Arabidopsis thaliana: one gene and its partners. The protein of the gene in region 3 interacts with the protein of the main gene of each other region in a pairwise test. Each region holds a gene or a part of one and is shown on either strand. Other genes may lie near its edges.

What was found.
Region 1: the proteins of AT3G16180 (region 3) and RABH1c interact in a protein complementation assay, tested with the Arabidopsis thaliana proteins (one large-scale study listed by BioGRID).
Region 2: the proteins of AT3G16180 (region 3) and RABA1c interact in a protein complementation assay, tested with the Arabidopsis thaliana proteins (one large-scale study listed by BioGRID).
Region 4: the proteins of AT3G16180 (region 3) and AT2G21500 interact in a protein complementation assay, tested with the Arabidopsis thaliana proteins (one large-scale study listed by BioGRID).

Annotation. Positions count from the first base shown.
Region 1 is NC_003075.7:18,503,702-18,508,532, reverse strand, and holds RABH1c (RAB GTPase homolog H1C), read right to left. Parts: upstream 2,615-4,831; 5' UTR 2,422-2,614; coding exon 2,305-2,421; intron 1,956-2,304; coding exon 1,885-1,955; intron 1,800-1,884; coding exon 1,711-1,799; intron 1,631-1,710; coding exon 1,516-1,630; intron 1,423-1,515; coding exon 1,332-1,422; intron 1,236-1,331; coding exon 1,074-1,235; 3' UTR 830-1,073; downstream 1-829. Other genes in the region: AT4G39880 (Ribosomal protein L23/L15e family protein), read right to left, coding at 3,396-3,932; AT4G39870 (TLD-domain containing nucleolar protein), read right to left, coding at 4,258-4,344, 4,461-4,545, 4,663-4,750, 4,827-4,831. UniProt on the Arabidopsis thaliana protein: Protein transport. Regulator of membrane traffic from the Golgi apparatus towards the endoplasmic reticulum (ER).
Region 2 is NC_003076.8:18,556,573-18,561,762, reverse strand, and holds RABA1c (RAB GTPase homolog A1C), read right to left. Parts: upstream 2,704-5,190; 5' UTR 2,446-2,703; coding exon 2,225-2,445; intron 1,554-2,224; coding exon 1,124-1,553; 3' UTR 818-1,123; downstream 1-817. Other genes in the region: AT5G45760 (Transducin/WD40 repeat-like superfamily protein), read right to left, coding at 32-94, 184-245, 336-432, 535-642; AT5G45740 (Ubiquitin domain-containing protein), read left to right, coding at 3,666-3,708, 4,314-4,436, 4,520-4,639, 4,718-4,788. UniProt on the Arabidopsis thaliana protein: Intracellular vesicle trafficking and protein transport.
Region 3 is NC_003074.8:5,480,414-5,487,275, forward strand, and holds AT3G16180 (Major facilitator superfamily protein), read right to left. Parts: upstream 4,775-6,862; 5' UTR 4,531-4,774; coding exon 4,428-4,530; intron 4,342-4,427; coding exon 4,124-4,341; intron 4,118-4,123; exon of another isoform or gene 2,604-4,117; intron 2,596-2,603; coding exon 2,039-2,595; intron 1,962-2,038; coding exon 1,064-1,961; 3' UTR 912-1,063; downstream 1-911. Other genes in the region: AT3G16175 (Thioesterase superfamily protein), read left to right, coding at 84-245, 352-492, 625-795. UniProt on the Arabidopsis thaliana protein: Low-affinity nitrate transporter involved in xylem-to-phloem transfer for redistributing nitrate into developing leaves. Not involved in dipeptides transport.
Region 4 is NC_003071.7:9,206,223-9,212,365, forward strand, and holds AT2G21500 (RING/U-box superfamily protein), read right to left. Parts: upstream 4,010-6,143; 5' UTR 3,886-4,009; intron 3,439-3,885; 5' UTR 3,354-3,438; coding exon 3,065-3,353; intron 2,805-3,064; coding exon 2,758-2,804; intron 2,673-2,757; coding exon 1,743-2,672; 3' UTR 1,210-1,742; downstream 1-1,209. Other genes in the region: dehydrin LEA, read right to left, coding at 1-196, 471-818; AT2G21510 (DNAJ heat shock N-terminal domain-containing protein), read right to left, coding at 4,619-4,714, 4,846-4,947, 5,051-5,229, 5,329-5,487, 5,579-5,708, 5,798-5,963, 6,035-6,117.

The DNA of each region.
Region 1 (4,831 bases), on a different chromosome or scaffold from region 3:
TGTCTCGCTGTTTAGAATCTCTTCCCCAAACTTGTCTTTTGTTCCAAGTTTCAAAATGTTGATAAAATAACACTTGCTCTTGCAAATGCCTAATTAACGTGTAACCAAACAAGAGGTTAAAAAAGTAGAATCAAGAGTGCTTAGCATCGTGATTATCGTTACTATTCTCTTTAGTATACAAATATATACAAAGATAATACGAATCTTCAAAAGTATTTAACAAGTATTATATGTTAATGTCTGAGATGAGTAAGCACAAACTAATTCACTAATCAACTTGTTGTGTTACAAGTTTCATTGAGTTGATAACACTAACGAATGTTTGAAGGCTCAATAAAAAAGTAAAACAAGAGAAGAACAAATAAAGGATAACGTTTTTCGTTTTCCAAGAAGAGAAGAAACAACAAAACCTTCCCGCCGATAATCGTAGTGGCCAAAACAAACGCCAATGGAAGCCTTGTTAAGGAAGACAAGGTTTACGGAGTGAAATGGTTTGAAGGAAGTGTTTATTACTCTCCCAGTGATGGTAAATGGGGAAGAACGAATAGGCCACATCTTTTGAGTTATTGTGTAGTTGAGGAATTGTTGTTATACGGTACCGATATGAGCTTCCGGTGAGTGTTTTGGCAAGAGTCTGAGGAATCAGAATGGAAGATAGTTAAAGGTTTGGAGGCTCTAAGAATATCAGTCAAGTGAACAGTTTTGGTGTGAACATTGTTCTCTTCTGGCTTGAGCGTAATGATGATGATGAGAGATTGGATGTTTGGTGTGCCGAGATTTCGTTCGAAAGGTGAGATTTGGGGTACAATTGAGTGGAAGGAAGCTGTCACCACAGTTGATCCTTCTCCCTTTGGTTCATTTGGTGGTGATCAGAATAAGGTTTTGTATTCTGCTACCGTCAATGTCTAAAACAGATCAAATACAGAACAAGGCAAAAGATTCACATGTGTAAAAATAGTAATCCTTTTCTCTTTGATGTTTTATATTCTGTGTCAGTTAATAAGATGAAAACCACAAAACTAACGTGATCCCTTTTGTTTGCTTCACAAGTTTTGGAATTATGTATTTTTGAATCAACAAGAACAGCCTCCACCACCACCTGCTCCTCCTTGTTGCTCACCTTGTGATGAATTTGAAGTGGTCTTTAGATTCACATCAACCATGTCATCTGATTTTGTTGCCAATGAATATGAGTCTACCCCGGGTAAAGCTGCAGCAATCTTCCGGAACAAAGCCTGCAAATTGAAGAGATTTGGTGTGTTTAGAAATCAGACAACAAGAAACACTCAAATGAACATCACTCCATACTCTTTGTTGAAGTTTTGTCATACCTTAATGTTGAAGTTTTCTTTGGCACTGGTCTCAATGAACATCACTCCATACTCTTTACCCTTGTCTTCTCCTTCACTGATTGATACTTGCCTGTTTTTCATTATATCAAGATTGACATATATAAGACAAGAGAGAATTATATAGTCCATCCCATCCAATTCTTTGCTTAATGTTTGTATTTACCGTTTTTCAACAAGATCAGTTTTGTTTCCAACAAGAACGATGATAACATTGCTTTGACCTCTTTCTCTGTGAACATCCTCAATCCATTTCGAGGTATTCAGAAACGTTTGCCTATCTGCAACACAAAGTATTGATTGAACACATAAGAACACAAAAAAGAAGGTGAATCAAAGAGAGAAACAAAGGTGGACTTACTGGATACATCGTATACAACAATGGCAACAGAAGAATCTCTGATGTAACTTGGGATTAGACTCCTGAATCTTTCTTGTCCAGCAGTATCCCTTTCAATCAAAACTTGTTTTGTTATTGCTTTTGAAATTAACATGTTAGTTTTTAGGTAAAGAGCAAAAGTAACATTGTTCTCACCATAGCTGCAAACGAACTGTTCGATCTTCGAGGTACATTGTTTTCGATAGAAAATCGATTCCAATGGTAGGCTGCAGAGAGTCAGAGAGAACACAAATAAAGGCTTAATGACTAACTAAGAAAGCAAAGAAGCAACAGTGCTTAGCATCATCGATCTTGATCATAATAAGAAGAAGAGATTGATAAATCAACCAAAAAAACAGAGAGCAGAGTGATCAAACAAATGCATTGAAGAAAAACCAGAGTGATATCAGCGACGTAATCTAGGACCAATATGAGATGAAATCGTCTGAACAATCGTAATATAGGAAATAATGAATCAGATCAAACAATAAAAAAACGAAAACAAAAGAAACTTGTTGTCGCAGAGAAGAATTTAAATGAATAAACAAAACAAGTGAAAGGAATCTGTGTAAATACCTGGTACGTGGTGTCGAATTTGTCATACATGAAACGAGTGATGATGCTGGTTTTTCCGACAGATTGGTCTCCTAAGAACACCAGTTTAAACTTTGCCAAAGGTGAAACCGAAGCCATATGTTCCGTTCCGTTGGAAGAAGAAGGAAAAAAAGAAAAAGTGTGATTCAAAGATCAGAAGAATCAGAGTCTCGTCTTTCTTAGGTCTCGACGATGAAGAAGAAGGAGAGCACGACGACGATGACTCGGTCGCACACAAACTTGACAACCTTCACAAAATCGCCACGCGCCCAAATATATTCAACGATTTCCGCGGAGACTTTATATAAGAAGCGCGTCGATGCGGTTGGGTGTATCTGTGTTTAAAAAAAATAATATTTTTTAATGATGAATGTTTTCTAAAATTTCTATGATCAAAGTCTTCTTCATTAATCTTTTAAATCGTTATTTGATTAATTAAAACCTAAACCAAAAAAAGACCTTTAAGCCAAACAAATTTTTGTTAGTTTGTGAAGATACTAGGTGAGTAGTAGCCTAGTTGTAATCTGTAATGAATACCAAAATCTGAACTAACAATTATTTTAACAATTATTTAGTAAACACCAAGCTACTAGTCCACAAAGTGATGAGATTTTTGGGATGATCAGAGATGACTATATTTATTGGCTAATGTAGTGATTTGTCACAATTTTATCATACGTTTTGCATCTGCGTAATGTGATCGAACATTTGAACATAAGCCCCAAATCCACAAACAATAAGACTAATAAGAGGTTTCTCAAAACTTGAACAGACAAACAAAGCACCATCACCAGAGTTAATCCCCTTAAGCATTCTTATAGATTGCAATTAAGAAAAAAAGCTTTAGAACTCGGGAGCAGCAAATATCATATAGCTAATCAGAGATCACTAAGAGAAAGATTACAAACAATTGGAAACATCTTGATTCAGATTTATTAGCCAAATCTCAGAAACACTGAGAGCTTCAATGATTCAGATTCTCAATACACAAACCTCAAGTAATAGAAACAACAAAATCAATAATCCGATAGCTAAAGAAACACAAACCCCAGATCATAATCTGCTCATAAACCCTACTTACCAACAAATCTCATGTTGCTCCATGGAAACTTGGCCGTCCCCGCCGCCGCAGCACCACCTCTCGTCGGAGAGTTAGCCCTTTCACCACCTCGACGACCTTTACCTTTACCATAACCACCAATCTCCCTCTTCTCCTTACGATCAAGCCAATGACTCTTCTTATCATCTTCTTCCTCAACAAAGCTAGATCCTTTCACTTTACTCTTCCTATCTTCCTCGATATACTTCACCGGAAACAAATCCCTAGAAATCGACAATGGACTACGTAGCGTGACGTAAGCCTTCTTGTAATCAGCTTTCGCTATCAACAAACCACCACGCTTCTTCTTCTTCCCATCCATGTTTAAAGTATTCACCTTCTCCACATCGAATCCGTAGAGCGACTCCAGGACTCGCTTGATCTCGATCTTGGACGCGGAAGGAATCGTTTTCAACGCGAATTCGTGAATGTTGGTCAGCTTCGCAGGCATCAGAAGCTTAATCGGAAGATTCGCGAAATGAACCACTCGTCCTCCCAATCTACTCCCCATTTTCAAATCGGAGCTGAGCTTTTAGGTCAGAAATGAAAAGCAGTAGCAAGGGTTTTTCTTCTTTGATTCTTCCCCACTAAAATTAATCCCTCTTCACACACACATATGCTTTAATGGGCCTTAATGGGCCGAATGAGCCTAATAGGTGGTTTTATTTTGTTATTTCAAAATCATCATTACAAGTGAGAGAGAGTAACATATATGTGATTTTAGCCAAGTTACAAGACAACAAGATTTCTTTTACTACAGATTTATACAACAACAACAACAACAACAACAAAAAGACGAATCTCAGTTGAATTCATTTGGGTTTTCTTTATAATGATCATGACCATCTGCAAAGACCAGGCTCCATTGTTTTGCTGTGAGCTAGAATCTCATCATACTTTGAGCCATACACAAATCCCCATAGCTGCAACAATCAATCAACCAATGGTGTGTTTGTTTGCTTGTTTCAGTTAAAAGGTGTTGCAAAATATTGAAATATAAAGCTTTTATTTTTCAAGGAGAGGGATGAAATTTAACTACCTCCACTTCCTTAACATCAAAGTCCTGAGAGTCTGCGAGACAAGAGTTCCCATACGTCTCTGAGTAAGCGCTCGATCCGCTTAGCCTATAAGAACACAATGGATCAATCGATTTGAGGAAAAATGCCTTGTTGTCTGTCGCAATCTTGCAATATAATAAAAATGCAAATATGATTTTAAGAGATTTGGTAAGGAAATCTTACAGCTCACTGTCTAGATAGAGAGCAAACCGTCCACCACCGCCCAGAGCTAGGAATTCCTTGGAGCATAAAGTGTAGAACCGATTTGCGCCTGATCCATAATTACAGGTGAATAATGAAACAACTCCCAACAAGTTCTATGTATCCAAGTAATGCATAATAAATACCTGTG
Region 2 (5,190 bases), on a different chromosome or scaffold from region 3:
TTTCGAAAAGTCGAGTTTTTAGTATCTCTACCTGGTTAACTTCATCTTTGTTGTAATTGTAACTCTCTAATGGCTTCCAAGAAGTAGCACTTAGCTATGAAATTGCATAAAGAGAGAAGCTTTAAAACTAAGTGAAGGATATGGTTATAGTTAGTTAATCAAAGTTTGAACATTTTAAATTACCGTATGAACATCGAAAGACTTGATTTCGTTTCCACAAGAAGCATAGAGAATGTTCTCATTACCTGAAAAATCAAATAAAAGTTATCACCAAATTGCAACAAAGAGAAGAAATTGAAAGAGAGAGAAACAGACAAAACACAAAGAGACAAAACCTGTCTTGAAACAAAGAGATGAAACTGGTTCTGTTCCAACATCGATGATGAATTGAACATCTTTACATCGCAAATCAAACCAGCAAATGCAACCATCCTATAATCGTATGATCGGAAAACTATGAATCTTGCGAAGTAACTACAATAACGAAACCTAAATTCATCGGAAAAAAGAGGTTTGAATTAGAGATTAAGAAACCTCGCCGGAAGTGAGAACAATTCCAGGCCGGTCACGAGAAGCTATACAACAAGTGGCAGTTGATTTGTGGCCTCTCAGCTTCCTTGGCTCTTCCATTGCCGTAGCCATAACTGTGAGTGAGAGTTTCTCCGGCGATTGCTCAGTTTCAAGCTCTAAATTGAGCTAAAAAAGGCTAACCGAAACAAACCAAAACTAAACCGGATATTTTGGTAATCCTTCGGTTTTGTACCAAAAAAATCGAAACAACAAAATTCCAACCTAACAGAAATCGATTTTAGTACCACTTAACCAAAATGAACCGATACGGTGAAACGAAATCAAACCGAAAATTATGTTCAACCAAACTGAAATCATCAAAGGCAGAAACTATTTTTATCTTTTCTTTTCAACAATTCTATTGTTTGAGATAAATATAATTTAGGGTTCTGAAAATTTGACATAGCATTTTCAAACAATAACATTGATAGATCAGATAAATAACAGAAATACACCAAATGGGCATTACTCAACCTAAAAGCAATCTTCATATTCGATAGAACCGTTAACAAAAACCGATCCTTAGGTTGTTAACAATAATTCTACTCTCTGATTAGTTCGAGCAGCATCCACCTTTCTTCACAGCTGAAACATCTTTACCGATATCGATCTTGTCTCCTTTCGATGGAACATTAGCGGATTCGCTCGCAGCTTCCATCGCCTTCTTGCTCACAATGTGGTGAATCTGAGTGAGGACTTCGGCGAAAGCGTTCTCAACATTGGTGGCTTCGAGAGCCGAGGTTTCCATGAAGTAGAGAGATTCTTTCTCGGCGAATGACTTAGCATCTTCAGTCTGAACAGCCACGAGATGGCGAAGGTCAGATTTGTTGCCCACGAGCATGACTACAATGTTTGGATCAGTGTGGTTTCTGAGTTCTTTCAGCCAAGTCTCAACGTTTTCAAATGTTGAGTGTCGGGTTACATCGTAGACAAGAAGCGCTCCAACAGCTCCTCGGTAATACGCACTAGTGATGGCTCGGTACCTATTGAAACAAAGTCAACGAAACAGAGAATTAAGTTAACCGAAACATCAGGAACACAAAAAAGGCAAGAAGCTTTACAGTTTCGAATTCAGACTATGCACGCTTTACAAAACTGATCAGAGAAATGGAGAATAGCAAATCATACAAAGCAAGAAGCTTTTCAATTTTGAAATTAAGACCAAGTAAAAGCTTCAAATGAAAGTTTAAGAATCCAACTAAAACCAATCAAGCTCTCTTACATAAATAAACTAAGCAAAAACAACAGAAGAAATCGATAATGATTGAAGAATCTTAGGTGAAATCTGAGAAAGAAGAGCTAAGAATCGTAGAAATGAAGTTACTGAAACCAATCAAGCTCTCTCACATAAACCTAAAATAGCAAAAACAACAGAAGAAATTTGATAAAGCTGATAACTTTATAATCATAATCATAGGATTCTCCTATCTTACACAAAACCCAAGTTGTCAAAATCACATACTAATCCAGATCTCTTCTTATAAAAGTGATCAATACCAATGGATCTAAATCAATTGATACAGATCTAACCTAAGCTGAAAATTTACTGTCTTTGGCAACCAAACAAAACCATAAACCCCAAAACTTCAATCAAAATGTTCTAATATAAGAAACCAGATCGAGAAATGAACAATGTGGTTGAAAAAGATGAGACCTTTCTTGACCAGCAGTATCCCAAATCTGAGCTTTGATGACTTTATCATCAACATTCAAACTCCGAGTCGCGAACTCGACCCCGATCGTGGATTTTGACTCGAGACTAAACTCGTTCTTCGTGAATCGTGAAAGCAAATTGGATTTGCCCACACCTGAATCACCTATCAGAACAACCTTGAATAGGTAATCGTATTCATCATCTGCTCTGTAACCCGCCATTGATTCTCTCCTTCAAAGCTTTTAACTTTACTCCTTCAGATTCGAGAAAACAAAACAAAGAGAGAGATAAAAATGGGTCCTTCTTTTCAAAATGAAAAACCCAAATGAGATTTGAAACTTGTTGCTCTTTTTTCCTTAGATTTTGTTTTGAAAATTTTTTCGATTTCAACAGAGAAAGACGCGGAATTGGAAAATATCAAACGAGAAAGACAAAGGACTTGTGTACTGTCTTTATCACAAAGAAATCTAACATTTGTGTGGCCAAATTTACTAAACTGCCCTGTTAACGCGTTCTGATCTATTACCTTGCTCGCTTCGATAAAGACGAGGACGTATTCGTCAATTCACATTTGTCTTTATCTTTTATGTTTTTCTAAACTGATTAAAATGATAAAAAAGAATGCGTCTGCCGGGAGTCGAACCCGGGTCTATTGCTTGGAAGGCAATTATCCTAACCGTTGGACTACAGACGCTGACGATTAATTCAAACAGATATAATATACTAATCCAGAATAATATGACGTGGCAAGTAAAGTGACTATAAATAAAATCGGGGAGATCTGTTTTCACTTTCTTCTCTCTAACAAACTAAGGCCTTGAATGGTACTAGTTTTTAAAGTTGATTTTGGCTTTTGATTTTACAAAATCCACTTTTTCATCCATTCATGATTTTGTAAAAAGTTAATTTCCTAAATTATAGGGAATTCAAAATTTAAAAGATTCTAGTCATTTGTTCTTAAAATCCAAAATTCACTTTTTTGGGATTTTCAACAAATTCTATCGTAAACTCTTTTTTTTTTGTTTTTAAAAATAAAAATAAAGTTTTAAATAAATAATTTTAAAACGTTTCTAAATAATAATTATATAAAAATCAAAAACTAGAAAAGTTACCATTTAAGATTTTGCAAAATCTAAAATCTCCACCAAAATCAAAAACTCATAAAATCAAAAACAAAAAACCAAAAGCCACAATCCAAAATCCAAAAACCCACCAAAATCAACAAAACATTCATGGCCTAATTTGGCAGTCAAAACAGAATTTGACCTTGAAGACGACTCTTGCAGACTTCTCCGGCGATTCTCCCGCCGTGAAACTCTTATCGGCGGCTATCTTTCTCCGTTTCGTTCCCGACGGTCGAGTTTGTACTGGCATTTACTTTACTTGTTCGAAGCGACTTCCAATTTTCACCTAATCAAACGCGACTCTCAACGGTTCGAGAATGGGTTGTATCGGATCTTCTCAGGCCAGAAATGAAGGCGGAGGTTAGTGGAATCGATACTCTCTTAAACCTTTAATTCCGCACTCCGTTTGTCTCGCTGAATTTGTTCTCAGAATTTGGGCTACGATTTATACTTGTGTTGTAATGTTTTGATTCTTGGTGATAGTTCTAGTTTTGAGGTGTTAACATGAACTAATCTTGCAAATGTTATGATTCTTGGAGTGATTTCGAAGGAAATATCAGTTTATTGTGGTGTTGACATGTTTGTGATTCGTTAAAGATTCCAAATTTTGAAGCTCAGAATTAGTTCAGCAGAGAATTAGAATGCTCTTCAACATTGTTTCTACTGCTCAGAATTAGAATGTTGGATCAGAGAAAGTTGTTATCGATGGTATGATTGAAATGAAATGGCCGTTTACTAATGTTATAACATTCCATTTTTACCAAGAAAAATTGTTCTGTGAACAATAGACAATATAATCTGATTCGTTCTGCCTTATACTGTATTTGTTGTCTTGATGAAATTGAAACTGTGATGATCTTCTGAAGTAGATGGCTATAATATTGGTGTTACTGAAAGAACTGTTTTAAAATTGGTGGTAGTTTATATTGTATCATTCTCTTATGAGTTTTGTACGTTTGACACAGCAAAAAGGAAGAAAATCATGAAACCTAAACCGTGGGCACATACTGAGCCAATCACAAGGGCACAACTTACGAACATGCGTGAGGAATTTTGGGACACCTCTCCACACTATGGTGGTCAAAGAGGTATATATATATCTCTCTTTCTTGTAATCTGCTGCATCGCACTATGTACATTTGGAAACTGAGCGAAATTTACTGAAAACCAGAGATATGGGAAGCACTTCGAGCTGCTGCTGAAGCTGACTTGAAACTAGCACAAACTATTGTTGACAGTGCAGGCGTGATTGTTCAGAACCGTGACCTAACATTGTGCTGGGATGAAAGAGGTTTGTAATACACAATTCTGATTCGTTTCTCTCGTTTCTTGTTTTGTTACCTTAATGACTTGCTCTTATTCAATGCAGGTGCTAGATATGAGCTTCCTAGGTACGTTCTAAGTGAGCCCACGAATCTGATTCGAGAGGAAGGACAGTAACTTCCAAGAACATTGACACAATACTTAGTAAGTAGTAGAAGAGGACTAGAAGTTGAAGTAAGTCTCTCATATTCAATACTTTTTGCAATTGATAGTGAATAGAAACACGGTATATTAGTAGGAGACACTCTCTGTATAGTTACTGGAATCTAAAGTGAGAGATGGTGGTTGAGGTACAAATGTACAGAGCCAAGAGTTGTGAACTTTTGTGGTCAAAATGATCTTATGAAGTCTTTTTGACAACCAGGGGCGGATCTACGTTGTGGGTAGGTAGGGCACGTGCCCTACACAAGGTTTATAAAGTTTATCTTGGAATACAACTGATATATTTGAAGCTAGCGTTAGTGGTTGTGTCCCCACACTCTTTCAATCCGTGCTTGGGTTCGAGTCTAGGTAGCAGAT
Region 3 (6,862 bases):
TATGATGATCCGATAACCATATATTCCCACACGCAAGTTTGTTTTGTAACGAGAACGTAAAAAGACGAAGAAGAAGGGACAGTATGGTAGATCCAACGATCCATAACACGACGACGTATCTCGAAGAGATAGCAAAAGGAAACGGGCAAACCGAGTTCGAGATTTTAATCTTGAAAGGCTTAGAACTCATCCATGTCGGGAAAGGGATCTTACGTTGTAAATTACTTGTCACAGATCATGTCGTGGTAATAAAATTTACTTAATCCAACGAATCTAGTTTTAAGCTTCCTTTTTTGTGTTTTTGATTGGTGAACGTTATTATTACTAAACAATGCGAAAGATGATTCTCAGGGAGAAGATGGAAGTTGGAATGCGGGAGTGATTACGGCGGTGATGGACTCGATCGGAGCGTCAGCTGTGTACTCCTCCGGCGGCGGACTCCATATCTCTGTTGATCTCAACTCTTCGTTTTATTCAACGGCCAAGATTCACGTTCGCTTTCCCTATCCTCATTTTTCTCTCGTTTTTTTTGTTATGAAACATGCAAACTACTAAATTAGGTAAATTACTATTATTAGTAATGATTAGAAGTAATAATGATAAGAAAAAACTACAAAATTGCAGGAAACGGTAGAGATAGAAGCAAGAGTGAATGGAAGCAATGGAGGATTAAAATCAGCTGTGATTGAGATTAGAAGAGAAACAAGTGGAGAAATTATAGCCACAGGAAGATTGTGGATGGCTCCACTTAGCGTCAAAGCCATACAAAATGTTTCTACTCTTAGTAAGCTTTGATTTTTTCTTAATTTAAGTGATTCAATTTCCCAAAGTCAAAAACACCACAAATCACCATTTTGAAAATTTGATTCTCTTCAATCAAATATCATACACACAATGTTTTTTTTTTTTTTGTAATAATTAAATAAACACACGACCCATTAATTAACATCAACCTCTACATCCTAAGAAAATCCAAATCCATGATATAATAATCTAATTACATACAAATATATAGAATTTTATAACACACGTACACCATTTAATTATGATCAACCAATTGGTCTTAGTTTAATTTAATAACTTCCTCTTCTTCTTTTCTCATACCATTAACCTTATCATTCCTCACCTGATCCACCGTAGGACCATAGGACCAGCTACACACAACGTAGTAGATGACATTAACGAAGCTCAAGATCGCTAAAACCCAATAGTAATAGTCATAGTGACCCTTGTTGATGTTATCTTCAATCCAGCTCACATTGCCCTGCTTTGAGCTATTCTTTACCGCATTTAGGATCACACTAGCCAAGATATTAGCCACTGCCATTCCTAGACCGAACAACGAAGCTGCGATACTCGACATGCTTTTAGGAAACTCGGTATAGAAAAACTCGGTCTGTCCTATCCCGGTCAAGGCCTCTGCTAAACCGTGTAGTACATACTGTGGTACAAGCCACATTGCTGAGATGCTCACTGTTGAGTTGGCATCGTTTGCGAGTCCTTGGCTTATCGCGGTTTTCCTTCTGTAATGTTCAACAGTTGCGGAAACCGCCATTGCTAAGAATGATATGAATAGCCCTAATCCCATTCGAATCTTGACATTGACTCTAACTGGTCTGCCTCGGATCTTTGAAGCTAAAGGGAGAATTGCGCGGTCGTACAGAACAACCCATGAGATTAAGGCTATGATTGTGAACATACCAAACGATCCAGCTGGGATTTGGAAGGTCGAATTGCTGCTTAAACGTCTGTCCATTGATTTAGCTTGAAGCAACTGAAAAGAGTTCTGGCTAACGTTTATCGACATCATTATCCCCGTGGACCATACCGGTATCACCTTGACCAACGCCTTGAGTTTCTCAACTTGGTCCGTTGTGCATAGCCTCCACTGGTTTAAGGCCAAACCATCAGAACCAAGGTCTTCATCGCGGTTACTTATGGCACAAGCTTTGTTTAAAAACCTAAGCAATTGCAAGAAAGTATCAATAAATAAAAAAACTAACCAAGAACTATATATGTGAAACTGATTTCACTTTACCTCAATTTGTCACTTGGAGCTTTGAGTTCAGAATCTTTCAAACGGTAATAACAATCTCTGGAGTCATGATGATCCGGCAAAGTTAAGTTTCTCTTCACGTAAGCTGCAGCAACCACTTGAGCTAAACCAGTGAACAGACTCTTGCTCACATCGCGCTTAACGTAGAGAGGAGACGCGAAAACAAACAAGAAACCCGCGAGCAGCATGAGAATCGCGGGTATTCCAAACCCGATTTTCCATCCTAGATGATCTTGAATGTAAACAATGACGGTGAAAGCGATCAAGACAGCAACTGATGAAGAAGCGTAGTACCAACCAAAGAAACTCTCAAGAACTCTCTCGTTCTTAGGATTCTCTTTGTTGTCCAATTGATCAGCACCAAAGGCTAAAGAACATGGCCTGATTCCTCCTGATCCAATCGATATTAATGCGAATGCGGTATACAAGAGAGCCAATTGAGAAGATGTCGCGGAACTGCAGTTGGTTCCGGCTGTTGCTACACACGGTGATGGTTTTACTTGCGGCAACATCGCCGTTAGCCATAGAACCACCATCCCCTGTAACATTTTTGATTCAGACAAATTTATTAAAACAATGTAGTAGGTTAGATTTTGACGTTTTTGTTTTTCATAATAAAAATGTAGTTATCACTTCATTCGTAAAATCTGTAGATGTCTTCCAAAAAAAGTACTTCCAAGAACAAGAATCCAAGTATTAGATCAGAATCTACACGTACGTCAATTGTCACATCCATCATACGAAAACATTATTTTCTTACGGAAAATGATTGATACTCGAGATGAATGATTGATGTAGAGATTTCAAAATCAATTGATGTCACTATGTATATGATAAGTTTTTTTTTCCAAGTGGGTGAAATAATAAGTTTGATCAAGAATGGGACAAGTAGTACAAAAACATGGGTCACCAATCGATATTGCTTTCATGTCTAACACTTATATGTTGGCCAAAAAACTAATGTCAAATCCTTAAATGGTGGCAAAATGTAGGTCCACGTCAGCTTGACCCATATATTTGGACATATAAATAATGAAACTCTAAGTCTACATACAACAAAAAGTAATAACAAAATGATATTTTTTATACATAGAGAGATGCAAGCAGTGTGGTCACTCACAATCACACAAGTTGCCAGAGAAAGCCCACAAGACCATAACCACAAGGAAAGCAACAAACAAGATTTTAAGGAATTAATAATGATATTAAATACTTTATGATTATTTAAGACCTGTTATTATATAAACTCACATGGACATTTCAGAACACCTGGCTTCGAATTTAATTTTACCGACTTTTATATTTTTGATGGACACAAATATTAAAAACAAATCAAAGCGGGTTTAGTTTCTCCATTCATTGGACAGCAATTTCAGGGAAGCACATGCAACATGTGAAAATTTTGACTCTTAATGGAAAAAGGCTTCTAAAAAGCTTAATCATATCAACTCTTAAATTAGAAATTTCACTGTAGATGATTATCATTAGATATTATAGTACTTAAAGCAGAAATATACAGCTATCAATGATTTAGCAAAACCAACGGTAAAAAGTTATAAAATTTTAGTAAAAACCCCTGAAATTTACCATACCAATCTTTTTTTTACTATTTCGAGAATATAAAATAATTAAATAATTACATACAAAACCTCGTACCATTTAATTCTTGGCCCTTAATTCTATGACTTGGTTAGATTTTATGGAATTCTCTTTTTGTTGTCGACGCAAGTAAAGTCAAGTCCAATTATCGAAAACTATCAAACCGGAATTTAACTCCAATTATCAATGCATGTAAGTAAGGTCCAATTGTCTAAAGCCAAGTAATAAAACACTGAATACAAGCACGATATTTCACCCAAATCAACTTAAACCGAAACTTTCGGTTTAGATTCCCAATTTTAATAAAACTCAACCTTTACTGACAGTAAACATAAACAAAGCATTTCCAAACCAAAGGCTAACTAGGTGGTGAAAAATGTTGAGTCAAAGAAGTGGCTAAAAAATTGAACCGGAGTAAACCGGGAGAAAGAAGAAGCGTAAACCGGTTAAATAGGGGACGGAAATTACCAGGAGACTGGAGAGAGAAGCAATGACAATGGTGAGAAAGCGACCCAAATATGAATCTGAGAGAAAAGCTCCAACGAGAGGCATGAAATTAGTAGCAGCAACCCACATGAACAAGACAGTTTGTCCTTTAACAAGTCCCAATCTGTAATCACTCATCAGATAAAGAATCATGTTCTGTAATAATCCATAGCTCGCCACTTTCTCGAACCCCTCGTTTGCTTCACCGAGTAACAAACAAGATGAGATAAAATTAGTAACAAGATTTGGGTTTTTGTCTAAAAAAGTGAGAGAGATCGTTTGTTACCAATGATGAAGGGCATAGTGAGAAGACCACCCTTTGTTCTTCTTCTTGTAATGGGTTGTTGAAGAGTCTCCTTTGACTCTGTTTGATCCGGAGGGTTCTCCATTGTTGTTACCTTTCAAGCTTCGAGAGAGGGGAAGAGAGAAAAGTGAAAAAGAGAAGAGAAGGAGGAGAAGATCTTTGTCTTTGTGAGAGTTTTGAGTTAATGCGATCTTATTTTTCAGTTCAGACAGCGAGGAATCTCTGTTTTCTGCGACGAGTGAGCAATAATAAATGGCTGTTATTTAAATACTACATTTTCTTTTTCCCTCAAGGCAAATTGTTTTTTAATTTTTTAATTTTATTAATTAATTTATCATAATGATTTTTATAGAGTGAGGTTTTATCCTATATGGCACACGACAATTTTCATTCTTAGTTAGAACTTAGAAATGATTTGTTAGTAGTATGAAAGAAAAAAAGTTAGATAAAACGTCATTTTCCTAATCTTAGCTAAATACAAGTTGAAACATAAATGCCAGAAATATTCGTTTTTTTGTGAAGAAAATATCTAAAATGGAGAAGATTAACTTACATAGATATTTCAAAAAGAAGAGAAAAGAAAAAAACAGTACATTGTACATCAAACTTCCAATGTTCCATCATCCATGTTACTTACGTCAAACATAAAATGGTCTGGTGTTATTGACTTATTTTTGAAATAAATCCAATTTATTATTATTTATGTACATTTCAAATTAGTTAAATATGTTAATGTTATATACTTCGAAACCATAACTATTCTATAGATTTTTTGATGAAATAGTTGTTGGAAGTGAATTTGCAATGTAGAAGAATCAATCACAAGAATTTCAATATTGTATTATCTTCTAAAGATGTCTTCTAATCAGACTTAAACTCTTAAAAAGTTTATGAGAGCTTCAACTATATCATTATACTGTAACTAAACATGTAAATGGCTTTCCACAAATCACATCCAATTATCGAAAGGAACGGATCAAAAATCATAACAAAAGTTTACTAATAATTGAGAATGGAAAACATCCCATGAGGTTAACAGCTTTTGTTTTGGCTCTCTCTCTTCCTCTTTTCTTGACAAATTGAAACTTTTTGTTATTCAATTCTTTTTTTTCAGTTTAAAGTTAAAAAATGGATTCATTAAAGTAAGTGCAATCATATATAAAGTTTTTTTTAATTCGCTTTCTCCTTATCACACTAATAAGTCAACATCTCAAAGAGTCGGCCCAAAGAATATAATAAAATAATAGCATACGAAAGTTTACCAAACCCATGTAACAATTGACCTCATGAATAATAGTTTATGTTTTAACAAAAATATGAATAATAGTATATGTTTAACTGTATAATTTTCTATGTATCTAAGAAGTTTCGGACTTTACGATGTATAGTAACTTCGACCAAGAGATTAAATTAGTAGTTTTCCCTGCTAATGTCGACTTTAAGACGAACCCCATCTTATAAAGTTACTCGTATCTAATCGGTTAAACTATCCATTCCAAATTAACAATTATATTTTCTTATGTGACTTAATCCAAATAATGAATGCAAAGAAAACTAACATTCATTATTCACAAAACATTATATATTGCTAAACAATATCATACTGTTAGATTCTGAGGATATAAACTACTGTATCAAAATACTTATCACTAATTTGTGATTCTATATCCTACAGGCTATATATCATTATACGCTAAGTAATTACGTTTCCAAGTTAAATGATACAAGTATTTGAAAGTTTCTGCCTAAACCAGATTATAAGTAAAGTACTTATGTTCAGTACAAAATTAAAAATGGTGCAACCAGATTTGAATGAAAAAGTTCGTACAAAATTAAGTGCGGTGTCTGATGATGGCAGAAGACTCGCTAGTAGGAACCAAAAATGAAATTTCATTATCCAAAAATTTATTTGTGGTCTTTCATGCATCCACATGAACAGTTTCAATACCAAATACCTAATTTAGTTTTTAAAAAAAATCGTAATTAATCAATACATCAAGAATTCAACATTAGATTATCCTGCTATTAAAAAAATCTCTTAAAATAATTTCTTAGAACATTAGAATAATTTAAAAACAAAAAGTGAATAAAAAGCCATAATGATGAGAGTGACATGGTCATTTGCCTTGCACGTGGGTGTTTGGATACTCTGCAATCTCCTTTTTGACAAACTTGTTAATCCACACTACTCATTATGTCATTTCATTTTTAATTTGTGATCATCATAACTACTTAGCCTCGTCGTAACAACTTAACCCAAGAAAATCAGAGTTAGATCCAAATAAAAGTGATGGGACACTTTAAAGAAACGAAACAAAAAAAAAAACACTGTGGATAAAGCAAAAAGCAAATGGTAACATAAATTGTTTTTACTATATACATTTCGGCGTTTGTGAAATAATACAGTCGAAAGAAAT
Region 4 (6,143 bases), on a different chromosome or scaffold from region 3:
GGTTATGGTGGCCTGGAAGCTTGTCCTTGATCTTCTCGAGAATGCCCTTCTTCTCGTGAGGTTGGTCGGTAGTGGCAGGTCCTGTTGTTGTGGCGGTCGCTGGTGTTTGTTCGTCCTTGTGTTTGCCGCTACCGAACTTCTCTTTAATTTTCTCCTTTATGCTCTTCTTCCTCCTCCCTCCTTGCCCATCATCCTCCTATTTCAACATCATATGCATATATATCGTTAAAAGATCAATCCAAATACATAAAACGGTTTTATAGAAAAGGCGCCTATCATATGACTGGTTTTGGATTTCTTTTTTTTCTTTCAAGTTTGATACCTTGCGATAATTTGTTTTTAGAGTATCAACAACAAATATGAAATTTCATTTTCATTGTATCTATATAGTTGTAAATATGAGAGTGCGGGAAAGTGTTAACTACTACAACTTATATCTAGTTTTTTATTTGAAAAGAAAAGAATCTCACCGAGCTAGAGCTAGATGAACTTCCAGACCGACGAAGATGCTCTTCAAGCGACCCATGGTGTTGCTGCCCTGTGGTGGTTGCTCCAGTACCAGCAGAGACTCCTGTCGCAGTGGCAGCGGTGGCAGCACCAGCACCAGCTGGAGCAGCTGCCGGATGTGTTTCTCCAACGGTGCTAGTAGGGTGCTCTGCAATGTCGCTGGTAGTACTCTCCTTATGCTGAGGAGTGGAGCTAACAACACCGGTTAGGTACATGGGGTTACCGTGCTCATCAGTCAGGTCGACAATTGGGTTTCCCTGTGTGTCAGTTAGATGGATCGGATTACCTTTTTCGTCCCTCAAATCCGCCATTATATTATTACCTTTTAGCTTCTGATCTGTTTTGTGTGTGAGATATATACCCTTTCAAATACAGCTTTGAAGAAAACTTGGTTTGGGATTGATTCAAGTAGGCATGCATATATATTAGACATGTTAATCTGCATGGATATGATACGTGGCGTATTTAATGTGAAATGTTTGCCACGCACGGATAGAATTAGAGTTCCATGTGTCATGTGTGTACTTTGAAATGTGTACGTCACGAATCCGACATAGTAATAACGTTTTGCCTTTTTTGATAGATTCGGTAGATAACGTTATCTTTTAAGTACGGTGCTTTCTATGTTCCATGGACACATGTGGATTTGATCAGGGCTTAGAACCGCTAAAGAAGGTCGGTGTTCCGAGTTTTAAATTCTTGACGTATTCTGATTGGTAAGTGCAAGTTTGTGTTGGTAACTAATTTCATAAAGCACTAAACAAACGAACCATGGAAGTTAACGTTGGATCATAATACAAATCTGTTTAGATTGGTTTTGAACTGAAACATTTGTTTAGAAATGGTTTGTAGAAGTATATAAAAATCGTATAATACGATCCCACACCAAATAAACCAAAACATATAAATATAAATCCCTCGATCTGATTAACCCAATTCACACCTACTGGTGCACAGCCAGATCATTTTTACCTTATATTGTTATAATTATATATTTACAAGTGTAATTGGGAATGCACAAACAAAAAAATAATGGGAGACTAGTGAGAAACTTTTCTGTAATACATACACAAACAAGTGTGTACCTTTGATAAGTAAAACGTTACGTTGACTTCGGCCCTAGCTTACGAACTAAGAAGAGACACAGCATCCAGATTCTGAAACATGATTCAACAATTATAGAGTGACTCGTTATTTTGAGTTCAGATTCATGAGAGAGAGAGGAGCTTACAGTTTCAAATTTTGCTAGATTTGGTCCAAAAGAAGCCTTTCTTTCTAAGAGAGCTCGGGGAATGAATCTCTTTTGGGGATTTAACACTATTACTTCTGGACCCGAAAGAGAAGTGTCTAGCAAGGAAAGGCTTTGGGGAATAGCTTCTCAAGCTTGAACTTGATATCAGCTTTGGGGTTTTACCTTTGTATCCTACTGCCGCTTCGTGGTTGTTATTAAACTTGACAAATTCATCGCTGTCCACAACGCGGTTTCTTAGTCTCTTGTTGTGTCTAGCTTTCATTTCCAAATCTGCCTTTAATGCTTTTTCCGACAGTTTGAATGTTTTCTTCTCACCCAGTGTGCAGATGGGACAAGAAGGATCGAATTTGTCGATTTCAGGTGTCATCTGCTCTAAACACTCTGAATGATAGACGTGCCCACATGCTAGAATCGCAGCTACGGAGAGCTCGTTAGTGGCAAAGATTTTTTGGCTACTCAACAAAGATTTCTCAGACAAGGATCTCGAGCAAGCACCACAGTTTTGCTGATCATTGGACTTTCTACTTCCAAGATTGTCTATCTTGTCACGACGAAGCCCAAAGCACTCGTTATCGTAAGAGCAAGACTCTCTGCGAGAATACGCCATCATTTCAGAAAAAGCTTGCATGGACCAACCATCAGACTGAGATTCATTCCCCAGCCTCTCTTCAGTTGCTGAGCTTCTGCTCGGTGAGGTGAATCCAAAGATTTGACCATATGAGACTTGCTTTGATAGACGAGGGGGCGGTGTCAGCTTTAATTGGGATGAACTTGCAGGTGGCATTGGCAAGTGGGACTGACTTGACAGTGGTGACACTGAGAAGGATGATGGTTGAGAAGCCAATGAAAGAGACAGTTTTGCAGGAGATGGATAATAAGTAGGGTCGGTTGAATCATTTGTTTTTTGGGTGATCTAAAACAGTAACATAGGAGTCATATTAACAGAGATACATAACAAATATATAGCTAGCAGTGAAACAAAGCTTTTAAGTATTTACCTGTTCAGAGACAGAGTCAATAGAGGCAATTCTTGAAAATGATTGATCTGCCACAACAATAACGTGATATCACAACATGGAAAAGTCATAGTTTAACAATAAAAGCAAGTCAAGAAACAAACAAGAGAACAGTTTATGTCAACAAACATATCAATGTCATTTTCACTCATTAACAGTCTCTGTAGAAAAGTAATCCTAAATTCTAAGCGGGTTGGTCAAAAAGAAGGTGCCTACATTTTCCCATCAAGTCTACATTTTTTGACAAATCAAAGAGGTATTGCCTGTAAGCAGCAATAAAGGAATTTACCAGAAGCAGGAGATTTCTGCCATGACTGCGTCTGAAAATTGTCCAAAGGAGAACCTTGTGATGATACAAGAGCAGTTTCAGATTTGACATCAGAGACATCGTTACGACTAATCCGATCAGATAACAAACTAACAGAGGTCTCTTCCCCTGCCACGCGTCCTCCTCTATTATCCCATCGGAAGCTCCAGTTAGGAGAATACCTCACATTGTTTCTTTGAAAATTCTCGACTGCTGATGTATTAGGCACAACCATTTTGTCTCGAGTAGCAACACAACAAGCATTCCCCATAACTGAAGCGTGTTATTGAAAACTACTAAGCACCGTACAACGACACTCCGGTTAGATGTTTTGGCGCATAAAACCACCTCAAAACCTTCCAACAAAAAAAAACACAATTTTAAGAACTCAATCAGAATCAATTATGACTATAACCTCAACAATAACACTAAAAAAAAGAGCTTACCATTAATCTACACAATAACTTAAACTGGCCATGGCCAAGATAAATGAAGTTCAAAGTAGAATGAAAATAAAGAGAGAATCAAATCCAGTAATCCATTGCTGACTAACATGTAGGTGAGTGAACTGTGATGACTATTCTTCACTAAGAAAATCCAAAATGAAAAATCTTCTCAAAGGCACTAAAAATAGAAATTGAATCGGGCAATATCTACATAACTAACATTAAACAGATCCGATATTATGGCCAAGGGACTTGCAAACCAAGTCGAGATTACCCAAAATAGAAACTAAAAAAAAAACTAAATAACAAAATCGAAAAGAATTAAGCATGTGAGAGGACAAGTGATGAACACCGAACCTGCTCTCGGAAGTCGGAAAACGTCGCCGGAAAGTTTTATAACGAAGATAGTTTCTTCACATAGCTAGCGAGCGAGGTTTTTTGCTTCGTTCTCTCTCTCTTTTTTTTTCCTTGTGAAGGAAAGAGACGAATAAAAGTCTTCTCTGACCGGTTTTGTTTAACGCCGTTAGACTCCCATTGGCTTGTACCGGTTAAAGACCCATAAACCGTTCCGATTGGCGTGTGGTTTAGGTTGAGGACCCATAAACCGTACCAAATGAAATGTCGAGTGTCAGCAGACCGGTTTGATTAGTATTCGGTTTAATAGAACCAAACACTGCATTTTAACTTGTTTTGGTCTGTTGTCGTTAGTTTTAGCGGAATTAGGCTAACGATGGCACGTCATGTTAAAACGATCACAACGCGGAAAGATGGAAAGGGAATAAAAACGCGATTCAAACACGCCCAAATACATACAATATTACTATTCACTATTATTTTTTCTTTACCGAAAGTAAATTGTAAATTTTGTTCCTTAGATCATTTCATCACTAGCTCTGAATGTATAAGAAATTTGAATAATGTGACGAAAAGATTTTAATGAGAATGCAGTAATGCACCACCTTAAATGTAACATCTACACGAAAAAAAAGTTAACATAGAAAGCAATCTCTACAAAACTGGGGAAAGTAAAAAACGAAGGACAAATCCAACTTCAACCAATAAAAGAAACAGCATTTTAAGTTCCGGAGTTTCAAGACGTCGCCTTTGAAGAACCTCCGGTGTCCATTTTCACGGTGGTGGCTTCCCGACGCAAGCTGCTTCCTCTCGTGTACGGCTTCTTAGCACCCTTCAAAGAAAAAGAACAGAGAAATTCACTAAGGTTTTGAGTTACATGTTTTTTTCAAAAAGTTTTTTTTTTGGCTCTCGACATCTTAAATCTAAACACAATGAGTGTTTCTTTTATGTTATGATACGAACCCTTTTGTTCTTCTTGCTCACCTGGAAGATCGTTCCAAGTTTCTTCAGTCCTATGGCACGAGCTCGAAGAACATCCTTCGAAACACTTGGATCTTTAAGCACCTGTGAGAGAAAGATACATATATAATTAACAACAAGATTAATTCGTCGATTGTTGCTACAAAAGAAATGGTCATATAATGTATGATGAAGCATAGTATCTTACAGATTGGCAAACACGAGATAGCGTGGATTCGATGTCGAGAACATTGATTTGCCAAAGAGATTGAAGCAAAGCATCCATTTTAGCTTCAATAGCTTTCTGAATATGTTCCTCTTTGTTCTCTCCTTGGTGTTCATTCAACTTGTTTACTTCATCCTGCAACTGAAGTAACGAAACCGCACCTACAGATCCAAAACAAAATCATCCAAAGCAATTAGTAAGGATTTTGTTTAAGTTAGAAAACCAAAACATTTTGGTTTATATTTAGCTTTGTTTCATACCAGAAGCAGCCATCACTTGAGATTTCATATGGTGGCCTTTGTCACGCACCCATTCAGCTAAGAATGGTACTTTCATATATCGCTTGTCTTTCCCGATTTCTTTAGCAGCTTTTCTTGTGTAAATGTAACCAATAGTATGCATCATTGCCTCGCCAAAACCTTAAACATCCAGAGCAAGAAGATGTAAATCTTTCTAGTTTATATATATACATTGAAAGACTTTCCTCTATAGCTTAAATGCAAAACTTACCGGCAGAAGAAAGCCGCTTTGCCTCTTCGTTTGCCCATTCGATAAATTCATCTGTTTGTCTTTCCACAAAGGGTTCAAGTTTGTTTTTCAATGTAGCGGCGAGCTTGTCTTCCCTCTCCTTTTGAAGAGCCTGCACACAAATCCCACGTTAATATATGGAGAAAAGTAGCTAAAAAACATCGACATGTGTTAAAATAGAACGATAAATAAACAATGTACTTTGATCTTGTCTTGAAGCATTTGCTTTCTGATTTCAGGGTCATGTGATTCTAAGTCAGCTTCGATAGATGCCAAATAAGCAAGTGCAAGCTGGCCAACGTATTCTTCAAAGACTTCGCTTCCGAAAAGCATACCAAATACAGCTGCAGGATCAACCATTGCATCCCTGCAAATGAAAAATCAATCACAAACCGAAGTTGGAGATGCAAAGTTGTAAACAGAGAGGACAAAACATACTGTTGGACCCCTTCTTTGCCATATTTGTCATAAGCTGCTCGCTTATCCGGATTGCTTAGAACCTGATAAGCCTCACCTAAAACCTTTTTCATTCATGAAAATCAACAAA